Linked DNA regions of Oryzias latipes. The main gene of each other region encodes a partner of the protein of the gene in region 2 in a complex. Links are inferred from orthologs where the notes say so. Each region holds a gene or a part of one and is shown on either strand. Other genes may lie near its edges.

Region 1 (3,709 bases), on a different chromosome or scaffold from region 2:
AACAGAGGAGGGGAATCTTCCAAATGGTGTTTGGCATGGACCGTCTGAAGAGGGAATTAAGAGTTCACCTAGATTCTGAAATTATTAGAAAGCTATTTTTTGCTCTCATAGCTTTTTGGATCTAGTTTATCGTGATTCCCATAGACCCGCACAATGTTCACAAGTGGGTATCATAGTTTTATGACTGATATATCTGTCAGAAATGCCAGGAACATGAATTACTTGCCTGATTTGATCAGTATCTGTAAAGGTTTTATTCTGGAAAAAAAAGGGTAAGAATACACAAAATATTTTAAGTGTACACCAAGAAGCCAAATAATGCATCCACAAGTGCAGGTGCAGTGCTTTAATGTGGCGGTCCCAAGTTTGGATAAATGCTGAGGGTTGTCATGAAAGATCTTAGTAAACATATTTTCACTGTGATAACTTCTACAACAGGGATCTGCAAAAGAGCCATTTGGGACAATTTCTCACTGATCCCTGTAGGAGCCACAGTCTTACTTAGCCTTTGAAGAAGATTTTACGACACACACACACATACATACATACACAAAAGTTTTTCTAAATATAAAATTATAATAATTTTTAACAAAGGGTCTTATAAATTCCTTTTATAATTAGACACCCTGAGCAAAAAAAGATCGTCCCATTGCAGGAAATGTAATCCAATGACGACTTTTGAACAGACACTTTTTTTTTTCTCTTGTTAAACCACTTTTGAGTGTTGTCATGTTTTTCCTTTTCCTTACTAACTAATGCAGAAGATCAGACATTTTACTCAAGTTTTGTTCAGGATTACAAACCTGTGCGCCTAATGTTACTGCAATAGAAGGACTTCAGCCATACATTTCTTTTTTTATCAATGACTAAGTAAGGTTTACTTTTAGAATTACTATCTTAAATTGTTTTTTTTTAGCCCGAGAGCCAAAGCAGAGTGTTAAAAGAGCCACATGAGGCGCAGGTTGCAGAGCCCTTATCTAAAAGAAGCTCAAATTAAGAATAGAAAACCTAATATCAGCTATACTTTAGATTTCTTTTCTAGGAATAGTTTTTGTAATTAGATTTGACTATTATGTATGATTATGCACCCTCGCTTTATACATTTTCTGCATTGCACATGTAAGTTTGTATTGTAAATAAAGGATATTCAGAACATTAACACAACTTGGCTATAAAATAGGCCCCATTTCAGATATAGAGAAAGGTAAGTGCGCATATTTATAAATACATTCCAAAACAACCATTTCAAGTTTATCATTTATTCTTTCTTTTTGTAAATGACGGTTAAATAAATAATCCACCACAGTGATCAGATCAGTCTGATCAGTGCCGCATGAGTCTCTGGTCTCGATTTAGCGTCCTGTCTGGAGAGGAGGGCCTGCGTGCGTGACAGTGACAGGCTGTCTGCCGCCCTCGCTGCTGGGGTAACTGCTGCCTCACAGTCACATCCTCCACAAATCACTAAAGCGGACCCACGGGTTGCATATTCATCTGAGCGCTCACAGCGAGGCTATCGGGGCAGCGATGTCGGAGGAAAATGACGAGACGAAGGCTTCAGACGAACAGCAGGTTAACGGAGATTCTAGCGGAGACATGTTTTATACTAACTCAGTAGCTAGCTGCTGTTCAAATCGGGGAGAATTAGCAGGCGGTAACAAAGTTAGCCTGTGGGCTAGCTTTGTGTTGCTTAGCTGGTCAGAAATGTAAAATAAAAATATGGTTTGTAATTTGAGCAATTTTGTGGTTTTTGTTGACTTTAGGTTAAAGTTAGATTGTTTGACTTGGGTGGATGCTAATAAAACTTGAGTGGTGCATTTAAAGAAAAAAAGCTAACAATGACTGCTGCTACAGTTAGCCACGCTAGCTTGCCTCGAGATCAATGCTAGCTTTCTGCACATCTATGTTTACTTTCCCTCCTGACTTCTTCCTCACATTCAGAGGCATCTTTCAGAATAACATCTCGTTGACTTAACTCATGTTAAACCAGGTTCATGCCTAATTTTAAAAAAGATTTTCTGGTTGTTGTCGGATCCACCCCCCTCCAACAGGAAATGGAGGAAACCGTGATCAGTCCAGAAAAATCAGAGGAGGCCAAATTGAAGGCCAGGTATCCCAACCTTGGAGCCAAACCAGGGGGCTCAGATTTTCTCAGGAAACGACTTCAGAAAGGAGGGGTGAGTCTGGGATTCAACTCCTTCCATTCCTCCTTTTTTTTTTTTTTTGGCCCCGGATCTCTAATATATGCATTTATCTCTGTTTCCAGCAAAAATACTTTGACTCTGGTGATTACAATATGGCCAAGGCAAAAATGAAGAACAAGCAGCTGCCGTCTGCCCCAGCAGAGAAGACTGAGATCACAGGGGGGCACATCCCAACGCCTCAGGATCTGCCTCACAGAAAGACCAGCATGGTGACGAGCAAACTTGCTGGTTGAGGGTTTTACTTTCACTGTTTTGCTACCATTCCATATTTCACTTTATATCTGCATGCCGTTTACATTTCTTCAGGTTTTGCTTTCGGCTTTAAGAACAAAATTTATTAAGCCAAATACGTTCCTGTGTTTATTACTAATTGAGGAATCGAGTAGTTCATTAAAATTTCCTACAGGAAAAATTTCACAATTCTTCTCTTTTGTCCACGTTATGTACTTTTCTGATTGTGTGGTTTTATTTAATTGTGTGCTTTAAAGCGAGTGAAATTTAGCCAGTTGTGTCCACTTCATGCTCCCCAACATTGTTTTTTGCGATGACTTGCTGCTTTGCGCTCCATCTCATTCAAATCTACTGACCTTTAAAGCAGTGAAACCGTTGTTGCTCCTGAGCAATATTTGCTCCATCAGCGAGAATTTGTGTTGTTGATTCTTGCCTGAAGTGACTTTCTCTGACTAGAAATGCTTAACAATTTTATGAGAAGAACTTCCCAGAACATGTTTATAGTGTGCAAGTGCATTGGCTGTGCATATAAACTGTGCCATTGGTTTTGTAAATAAAATAGTTTTGCATAATATCTTGCATTTGATGGTCTTTGTGTTCAGTTATTGCAAATTTTGTTTTGAAATTGCAGGGCTGCAGTGCTGGCAAAGGACAACTGGGACCTTTTTCAGTGTTTTAAGAAGATACTTTAGTTACTTCATTGTCAGATTTAATATTTTACTAATTCTGTCTTTAAAATATATGTATATGACAATTTGCAAGTCAGACGTATTTTGCACAAGTACAACAGAAGTAACTATTTATTTATGACTAAGATAATAAACTGAGGTCTACCTAGTTGACAAGTATCAAAAGCGGTGGTTATAGTGGGTGGAGTTAGGGAAAACTGTATTTTTGTAGAGAAGCATTACTTAAAGACCCACTCTGTTTATCTTTTGATCCATTGTAAAACCATTTTTAGTGGTCTTTTAATTATGAAGATGCCATTTTTTTTAAGCCAAAATAATAAAAAAAAAATTTAATAGTTCAGTAGAATTTCGCTTCTGAGGTTTGGCCTGAACATTTGCCGTGGAGCAACCCCACCCTTCTTCCCGTCCAAATACTGAGAGCTTGGAGCAGGGAGCTTGTGGGTTCGGGTAGCAATATATACATTTTTTTGTTAATATCTTTGCGAATTCTGCCTTAGATTTAATTTTCCTATTTGATGCAACACTTCCTTTTTTTTTTTTTAAATCCTTTTTAAATAACTGGGGCAGGGTATTATCTTATTTGTAGCT
Region 2 (4,588 bases):
CACATTCCTTTTATCCATCGCCTATATATGATATAATTCCATAATCAATATTGGAAAAGACCATTTGGATTGAGCCATGATAAGTTTGTGCATTACAGCAGACAGTACACATGTGATGCAGCAAAAAATGATCAGTCCATCATTCTAGTCCAACGTGTGGAAACAGAGTTCTGCAAAGACATGTGACCACTCAGTGTGGTAGAATGTTCTAATCGTGTTCCTTTTTTATTATTTTGATGTTGAAAACAACTTTATGACAATGTGAATGAATTTGCCATTAATTCTTGATCAAATCGGATCATTTAAATTGAACAAATATACACTATGACTCGTATCGCAACTACAAATGATATGAATCAAATAATTGTTGAAAATAAATTGTTATACCTGTATTTTTAATTTTTCTAAACAAAACTGTATTTCAAATGGTTCTTCGTACCTTCAGCGACATCATCATCGATGGCTCCTTTCACCTGAGAGAAGCACCACTGCATGTCACCTCCAGGTGCTGTGAGAAGAGAAAAATGAGTGGATTATCTTCAGTGACTCTTCTTGCCGTCTGCTTCAAACACCAGAATGACTTAACTGAAGAAGATTTTATTGACTTAATATTGCTCTAAACCTAGTGAAAAATGCTTTTTAAGAATGACACACTTCGTTGTCATCTGCCAAGGAGCAAGACAGAATTGAAAGTGGCCAACATGCCAAAGTGCAAGAAAATCATATTAAAAACCAAAAAAGTACAAATCCATACATAAAGGGTGACTGGGTGTTGACAGTATCATTAAGGAGCCTGATGGAGCATGGGTAAAAACTTTTTCAAGTCTGTTGGTCCTGGCTCTGAAGGACCTGCATCTCTTCCCTGGTGGCAGCAGTTAGAACTTGTGCTCAATAATATTCATGAATTACTTCAGAAAAGATCAGTGTTGGGACCTGTCTGAGATCCAGGGTCTAACAATGATTCCACTGACCATTACCGCAATATTTTAATGATCATACGTGCACACATGCACCACCACTTAGGTAGAAAACTGTGCAGCATCTTTTTTAAGAAAGTGATCATTCACACAGAATTTTCAAAATACACGCAGCCAGAGCTGACTTTTTCTTTGGTTGCACGGACCCGGATGAAGGGTTAGGATTAGGTTAATACACGCGACCAACCACAACATTTAGACTTGGCCGTACTTAAAATTTGTGCCGGTAATGCAGGAATGTGCATCTGTCCGCTAAACATGCAGCCAACATGAATTTCCATCAGTTTTTTGTGTTTGGTCCCACATAAATATGTGCAAATAACATAAGCTATATCTTAAAACATTAAGATACACCACTATTACTCGAGACAGTCTACACCTGCAAAACCAGTTCTGTTCCAGTGAGTCAACTCACAGCTATAAAACTACATGATCTTTTAATTACAATAAAAGTGGGTGCAGTCAGTAACTGCTAGACTGTTCTCTTCATCTTAGGTCTTGTAGCTGGTTAACAGCGGTCATGCTGAGGCCTGGTTTAAGAGGAACTCAACATACATGAACAATTCTGGCACTGCAATCATTGTGGCCACTTACAAAACTGAAACCGAATGTTTCCAACAGTCACCTTAAAGCAGGTTGACGTAGCAGCACATACTTTAACAGAGTACATTTTGTAGGATAAACAAGCCCAAAGGAAGCAGGTACAATCATTTCTGTGCATACACACCAGAAAGAGTCAAAACACTCACTGGAGGAACAAAATATCTCAAATGTTTTATTGGGGAGTCTTGTGCAATGCATTTGTCTAAAAATGTGAGTCACTCAAAAAATGGACGACGTGCAAGCATTCCACACTTTCCATGATTGACGTTTCTGCTATGCCTTTAAAACCAAATTTAAAATCAAAGTCTGCTATAGGGGTGGGGGGTGAGGCCCCCCCACCCACTGGAATCACAATACTTCGCTACTAAAGTAAAGCTAACAAATGAATGAAAAACATCGCAGAGAAAGTCTGAGCATTCTCTACAGATGAAATGGTCGTTATCCCGCGCCTCTTGTAGCCTTTGAAGCAGAAACTGCGTGAACATTTCCCTCAGAGCTCAGTGGGCCCGCCTGCTAGCCTGCATGTGAGCAATGTCAAAGTTTGCGCTAAAGCTAGCAATGACGGCTTGCCAAGCTAGCCGATGCATGTTTGAGAACTGTGGCGCTACTTTGAGCTTGCCCTAACGTTTGGGTTAATAACTCGCAGCCTTGTGTGTTGTTATTCCATTAAGAGGTTTGCACAGAAGTATACCAAAAGAAAACCTCCGTGTACGAGCGAAATACTCGGCCATTAGCTACAAAAACTTAACACTATTTCATGCCGGTGCCACAAAATTATTAACAGATTTGGCTAAACTGCCATGCATATCATTATCAGGTTAGTAATGCAACCTATTTGTGTAGATAACAGCAAAACAGCTGTAACGGTAACTGGTAAGCTAGCTTTAACCGGCAAATGTTTCTGTTGTTGCGCGAGGACAGTCGAGTTCTGTGAATAGCTTAGGTTAGCACTAGCCAAGTTCGGCTAACTAGCTATCGTTAGCTAAAACAGAAATGAACTGGTGGGTGAATAAAACCTGACTCCCGGAACGCAGAGACGACCAAGAAACGACGTTTTAACAATGAAAAAAAACATTTTTTTTCAGAACGTTTAACACAGTCCAGACGAATTACCTGCCATGGCGAGACAGACAGTGGAGCTTGCCTCAGTCAGTTGGTCACGATCCTGCTTCCCACTCCCACGCGCTGATTCGTGGGATCTTAACTTTTTTTTCCTCCCTCCCCCCCCTCCTCCACTCAGCCTCTGTTCACCGAGCAAAGCAGAACAATGTGTGTGTTTAAGTCAAACTGCGCGGTTCGGAGTTCCCGCTCGTCTCTTTGCTGCTCCTGGAAACATTCACTCCCCCGCGGTGGTGCTGGTGTCTCGCGCTCTCTTGCCGCCGGCTGCTCCGCATCCCAGAAGTCAATTCTTCAAACTCCCCTCGAGTCTCTTCCGCACGTGAACCAAACCCTCTTTATAATGTGCACGCGCATGACGGATGTTTTGTCAAAGATTAGAAAGGCCTAAAAGCAGGGCTCTGCAACCTTTAATACTTAAACAGAACCAAAAAATATGACTTCATCGTTTAGAAAAAATAGGACACCGATATGTATTTATGTTATTGTTATGATAAACATAATTTTTTTTTGCATACAAAAAGATTAACATACAGAGAAAATATATATTTTTCAAAATATGAAATAGTTTATAACTTTTGACAGAGGTTGACATGACATCCTTTCAAAATAAAAGACACCCTGAGGCCTCATAATCCGGTGCACCTTAATTTTGGTTTTGCTCACTGACCTCCAGTTGATTTTCTGTGGTACATGGCGCACAAAAATCTGGCATAACGTTTTCGTTCAACCTGTTAATGCGTACTGTTCTTCAACTGTTTGTGTATGAGGTCATTTAAGTCAGTTTGCTTTTTTTCTTTTTACTTTACAGTTACTTATTTAAATTAAAAACGTTTTATTTTTCTGTAACCAGAGAGCCAAATTCGTTTTGGAGCTTCAGTCAGCAGACATCTGGATTAAACCAATGGTCACACTGACCTGTTTGATACTTTTACTGCTCCGTTATACTTTAGCATGTTCATGCTTAACATTAGAAAAACTAAGTTTACTGCAAAAACGTCTTTGATTGCATTTAATTAACCTGCAAGATATTTAACAGCTAAGTTTAAAAGTTTAAGATAAATTAGCAGAAAAAAGTAAGTTTTTAAAAATTAGAACTGGTCTGATGGTATAAAATATAATATGCTAGCTGAGCAAATTAAATACTTTAAATAAAATATATAATAGAAAAATTTAAAACCTAAAAAAGGTTTAGCCTTGACCACACAGCTACATTTTTCTGGTCTCAAAAGTCAGATTTTTGTTGTTGGTAATGTTGGCTTTGTTGCCCCTCCAGATGGTTCTACTAAAAATGTGAAGGTGGTTCACAAAATCTGCAAAATCGAATTTGTTTTTAAGGTGAAGTCGTTACCCCCAGAAACCCCCCACAATTATTAATTATTTTTCAAATATAAATATACCCATCACAAACCTTTTTACCCATTTTCTTTGTGAAATTGCAAAGTAGGATGAATCAATTAAAAACTCAAAAGGAATTTATAGGTTTAAAAACTTGGAACCCATTTGAAAAATACAATCTGCTGATGCTCTTACTTTTTCCTCCCCATGTTTTTAAGTTTCTAATTAATAGGAATATGCTTTGTATTTTTCTTTTTTTATACGTGATTTCTTACTGTGGGTCCTTTTTTCTTTTTAATTTTTTTTTTATTCATAAACATCATACAGTATGCAACAAAAGTGTGAATGTCAAGGGGGGAAAAAAAGTACATTTTCAAAAATTACATTGGTTGAAATTGCATTTTTGTGTTTTTTTCTTTTTGTTTGATGATTACCATGTTGCATTCATTCGTGCAAAAAAGGTTTACAATGAAGTTTGAAGTTTTCCTTTTATGAACATGCAATTTCCCCCAAAAACGAAATGATTGTGTTATTAAAAAAACTCCAAAATGATG
Region 3 (4,257 bases), on a different chromosome or scaffold from region 2:
GCCCATCCCTAATTTGTTCTCAAGAAAAAGTCAAATCTAGGGGGAAAACAACACTTTCAGGTCCAGCGAACACTAACCTGAACCTGCGCGTGGGGCTGGGTATCGGGCTGGGCGTCAAACCATTGCAGCTCACCAGGATTTGGAGCGAAGGAGAGAAACACTGCTGCTTGAAAGACAAGAACAAGAGGTCAAAGAACAAATATTAGGAGAGCCATTAAGAATCTGTCTGTAAATCAGTAGGATTTGTTCTGTTCACAAATAAACAACAAGCACATTAAAACTTAGTAGTATGGGGCCTTTTGTTCTGCTTTACTATTTGTTTGATTAATTAATCTTAGTCTTTCGTGGCAATCCTTTATATCTATTTTTTTTGTATTTTTTACAGATATTTATATATATATATATCTTTCATTATATAGCAAAATAATTCCACAATGAACTTGTCCAAAAAGACACAATTCCGAGTGGTAAATCTGTCCCTTTTTTGCTGAAAAAAAGTTACAAATATTGAGATCAAACATTTTATGTTTTAGAACAAAAGATCGAACAAGTGGAGGCAAAATAAAAATATATACCGGTAAATCCACAATCAAAGCAAAGACGAGGTCAAAACAATGTAGAAAAATATCTAAAAACCAGGCAAAGCTCCTCCGGAGAAACAAGAATTTATTCCAGGAGGTCTTACAGGTATGTAGCATAACTTTTTTTTTTTAAACCAAACATTTCAAAGCTACAAACTTTTTAAAACCTTCACATTGAATTTTGAAGGAAAGCTACGCTAATGAGGGGTATGGATTCCTTCCTGCGTCAACAGCAAATGTGAGTCCAGGGACTACTGAGGGTTAAAAAGACAGGTTCATGTCCTCTTTAAGTTCAGATTTAGGCCAAAAGGAGCCTCGAGTTGAGATGGGTGACTTTGCCAAGATGATTTCTAAAAGAGCACGGTACCTTCTTTCCTATCCCTCTGGTTGGGGACGGGGCCGGCGACACAGGCACAAAGTCAACTCGCTTTGGCGATGAAGAAGCCACTTTCTCCAAATCATTGTCACTCTGAGAAAACAGCAACACATGACATGAATGAAGGCAGCTTGAAACATACATGCTTTGGCAACTGTGGGAGTTTTATACTACCGACTCAGTCTGGCCTTGAAAGACTGGTGGCCCTGTTAGCTCCCGAATATTTCAGCGTTAATCTAGCATGTTTTTGCTTGACCCCCCTATTGTCACGGACAGACGGCAAAGAGGGCCAAAACATGCACCGAAGTCCATCATTACACTGAAAGTGTGGTTAGAAACTATCTCTTACCAGACTAAGACTTTCCTCCCAGGAGTGGCTCATTTGCATGGCAGCTTGAACTTCCCTGTGAGAGAAAAATATTAAAAGATGAGCTTAGAAACATTGGATTTTGACTCAAAAACAAGCTGTAGAGCTCACCGTTCATGAGCAGTCTCCCTGTTCATAACGTCCACTCCCTCTTCCTGCAATACAGAAAAATAGATAAGAAAACTCATTCATATCAATACAATCGTCAAACTTTTCTTTTTTTGTAGGAGTTTGGTACTACCAGTTGATCATCAGATCAATGGTCCTTTTAACTCTAGTGTTGCTCTTGCATGTTTTTAAACACCGTTAACCCTCATAATCAAAGGGAACCGGTGGTCTGACATGCTCACTCATGCACTGGGCAGTGCCCTCAGGCGCTTACTTGTTTTATTTGGTGGAGTCTGGTGCTGGGGACACGGATGGGTGACGATGGGACCTGTGTGTGGACGCGAAAGTTATTACTGTCGCTTCAAAAACGCTGCAGACAAATGCCAAGTGCAGAACTGTACCATGTTGGGCCTGTTGACAACTGTGGTGCTGTTTCTGCGACTGCGCAGAACCTCTCTGTGGAATACCTGGGAGTTATCGCTGCAAATGACAGATGGAGACCTGTTTGTATTCTCCCATGATCCAAAAGCAAGCACGTGGGCACACTTAGAAAGAAATCAACGAGGAACCTCAAGCCATTGATCATGGGAGCGCTGTTGGATCTTCTCAGATGTCCGTCGACCTGCACTAAGGAGGATGGGATCTCCAGATCCAGCTCCATCTTTTCTTGGGGCATGACTCCGGAGTTGTTCATGTTCCTGGAAGGGGCCAGTCCGTCACCGATCCGTGAACGTCAAATGGCCGACTGGTTCAGTAATGCCACATTACTGACGTCCTACCCCAGCTGCTATTACATGATTAAAATGTGCTATCAAACCGGGATACAAAACCAACGACAGCAACTCACAGAGGCCCCCCTTCGTCCGTATGGGCGCACGAACTAAAGAGTTTGACCATACAGTGGGATACTAATTTTAGCGCAATTTACGGCGACGTCTAAAACAGCCTGTGTTATCATTACACGGAGTGCTACAAGTAGTCACAACTTTGCAGCGTGATGGCTAGCACGCCAAGGCTACATACCACACAATGCCCGTTACTTAGTCTGCGAGGCAGAAGCGGTTGGCGAGCTACAACTTCATGTTAGCGCCTTAAAATGAGCTAGCGCTAGCCAAACTAGTCAGGCAGCAGCATTCAGTTAAACCAAATTTAAGCAACTCTAAAGCGCAAACATTGCTTTCAAATGACGAGCATAGCTTCTATAGCTAACTGCTTACTGTGAGACTGAGAGCCGAAAGAATGGTTCAGCCATAACCAACAGCAGTGAAACCTAGCCCAACGAGCTAGCATGCTAAGCTAGCATTGACCCCAATAGCTTCAATACATATTCTATGGATGGATCGAAGCTGCGACACAGATTCACTAAACATTTTTATCCGTAAAAAAAATTCTTATAGAATTAACTGAGCTAATAAGTGTAGTGAAAAATTCCCCAAATTTTATGTTTCGTTTCTGCGAGCCGCCAACCACGAATGAACTAGAATCCCAGATCACACAGGAGCTGGCAAAAAAAAAAAAAAAAAAAAAAAATCCACGCCCCTTTTTTTAATGTTAATGTCCAATGAAAACGCTCCATTTGCCGGCGCGAGGACATTCTGGGACCAAACCATGGAATGTACCAAGCACTGTACCTGGAGGACAAATATTTCCCAGAAAATCATCGATTACGCCACATTAGTTAAGCTTTACTCATTAACTGTCGTGTCCATAAAACAGATATATCTTTTTTTAAAATAAAGTGAGGATGTCCCCGTCAAAAAAAATATATAAAAATAATGTAATAATTTGTTTTATTTGATAAACACCCAGCTTTTATTGATATAGTTGTTCAGCTGTTTCAACATGTTACATTTCTAAAGCTAATTTTGCATTTAGCTTTTTACGCTTCTTTTGCTTAACTTTAGTTGCTAACTTTTCACAACAATTTATAAAGCTAATTTAGCATCTAATTTATGCATCTGCAACTTCCCAATGAACTGTTCGTTATTATAACGTTTTTTTTTATATTTCTCTTGCCAAACATAAGTATAAAGCATTTAAGTCGATTTGTTTAACTCATTCAGCATCAAATTTTTACATTAGCATTGCTAAACTTTTAAAACAATTATTTTAGCAAATTAAAAAAAAAACAATTCTTGTGCAATGCTGAACATTTATAATTTTTCCAGTGATTTGTTCTGCTTTATGTTTGTGTCTGTTATCAGACAGGTTTAAATTTTCCTATATGTTCAAATCATATGGTTTGCTGTCAGGTTATTTCACATCAATTTGCTCAGCTAATTTAGCTTTTGCTACACAAACATTGTTTTTATATTTTCTAAACCTTTATTTTCAAAATCGTTTACCTTTTTCTTTTGCCAAAATCACGGAGCCCCTAAAGGGTAATTGAAGGAAATTTTTTTTTAACTTCAATTGTTTGTTTGACCAGTTACTAACAGCCATTAATACAAATAAATGGCTTTAGTCTGTCGAAAGAATCCATATGCCAAATATAATTTAGACCCTTTTTTGAAACAACCACATTACTTTAAAACTCGTTTAAGATGACGTTCAGAGATGATGTAATTGTGACGGTACGCAGGCAAAGCTGCAATCTCTTTGTAGACAAGTCAAAAAGCAAAGTAAAACTCAATTAGCTCACAGAATGCCATTTCCAGGTAACTTGGGAACATTTCTCTGTGCGCAAATTACCTAGTAACAGTTGTGCAGCCGTTACTGACGGGTGCGCAGCCGATACTGACTGGTGCGCAGCCGATAGTTTTTTATTTTTTTCCTTCAATGACCCTTTAGGGGCTCTGTACAAATGGCCTTTACATTTACACAGA

The links.
Region 1: the proteins of serine/threonine-protein phosphatase 2A 55 kDa regulatory subunit B alpha isoform (region 2) and arpp19 are in contact, whole or in part, in a cryo-EM structure (PDB 8TTB), measured with the Homo sapiens proteins. The link is inferred for Oryzias latipes from reciprocal best matches to the Homo sapiens genes PPP2R2A and ARPP19. Residues at the interface, in NP_002708.1 of Homo sapiens: Lys18, Gly19, Ala20, Asp23, Asp24, Asp29, Ile31, Thr45, Asp47, Gly49, Arg51, Val53, Phe55, Val73, Thr76, Gln78, Glu81, Pro82, Glu83, Phe84, Leu87, Lys88, Ser89, Glu91, Glu93, Tyr178, His179, Asp197, Leu198, Asn221; in NP_001293124.1 of Homo sapiens: Lys42, Pro43, Gly44, Ser46, Phe48, Leu49, Arg50, Arg52, Leu53, Lys55, Lys58, Tyr59, Phe60, Asp61, Lys75, Pro93, Asp97, Leu98, Pro99, Pro103, Leu105, Val106, Ala107, Ser108, Lys109, Leu110, Ala111.
Region 3: the proteins of serine/threonine-protein phosphatase 2A 55 kDa regulatory subunit B alpha isoform (region 2) and fam122b are in contact, whole or in part, in a cryo-EM structure (PDB 8SO0), measured with the Homo sapiens proteins. The link is inferred for Oryzias latipes from reciprocal best matches to the Homo sapiens genes PPP2R2A and PABIR1. Residues at the interface, in NP_002708.1 of Homo sapiens: Phe84, Leu87, Lys88, Ser89, Leu90, Tyr178, His179, Asp197, Met222, Glu223, Leu225, Thr226, Glu227, Val228, Tyr337, Asp340, Phe343; in NP_612206.5 of Homo sapiens: His81, Ser82, Ser83, Arg84, Leu85, Ile88, Lys89, Glu92, Arg99, Glu100, His103.

What each region holds. Positions count from the first base shown.
Region 1 is NC_019864.2:15,338,694-15,342,402, forward strand, and holds arpp19 (cAMP-regulated phosphoprotein 19), read left to right. Parts: upstream 1-1,365; 5' UTR 1,366-1,524; coding exon 1,525-1,569; intron 1,570-2,048; coding exon 2,049-2,174; intron 2,175-2,263; coding exon 2,264-2,434; 3' UTR 2,435-3,012; downstream 3,013-3,709. UniProt on the Homo sapiens protein: Protein phosphatase inhibitor that specifically inhibits protein phosphatase 2A (PP2A) during mitosis. Inhibition of PP2A is enhanced when ARPP19 is phosphorylated.
Region 2 is NC_019870.2:24,073,762-24,078,349, forward strand, and holds the start of serine/threonine-protein phosphatase 2A 55 kDa regulatory subunit B alpha isoform, read right to left. Parts: upstream 3,006-4,588; 5' UTR 2,701-3,005; coding exon 2,694-2,700; intron 509-2,693; coding exon 440-508; intron 1-439. UniProt on the Homo sapiens protein: Substrate-recognition subunit of protein phosphatase 2A (PP2A) that plays a key role in cell cycle by controlling mitosis entry and exit. Involved in chromosome clustering during late mitosis by mediating dephosphorylation of MKI67.
Region 3 is NC_019868.2:26,636,498-26,640,754, reverse strand, and holds the start of fam122b (protein FAM122B), read right to left. Parts: upstream 2,940-4,257; 5' UTR 2,127-2,939; coding exon 2,002-2,126; intron 1,913-2,001; coding exon 1,834-1,912; intron 1,761-1,833; coding exon 1,707-1,760; intron 1,480-1,706; coding exon 1,436-1,479; intron 1,362-1,435; coding exon 1,307-1,361; intron 1,260-1,306; exon of another isoform or gene 1,110-1,259; intron 1,051-1,109; coding exon 949-1,050; intron 164-948; coding exon 78-163; intron 1-77. UniProt on the Homo sapiens protein: Acts as an inhibitor of serine/threonine-protein phosphatase 2A (PP2A) activity. Inhibits PP2A activity by blocking the substrate binding site on PPP2R2A and the active site of PPP2CA.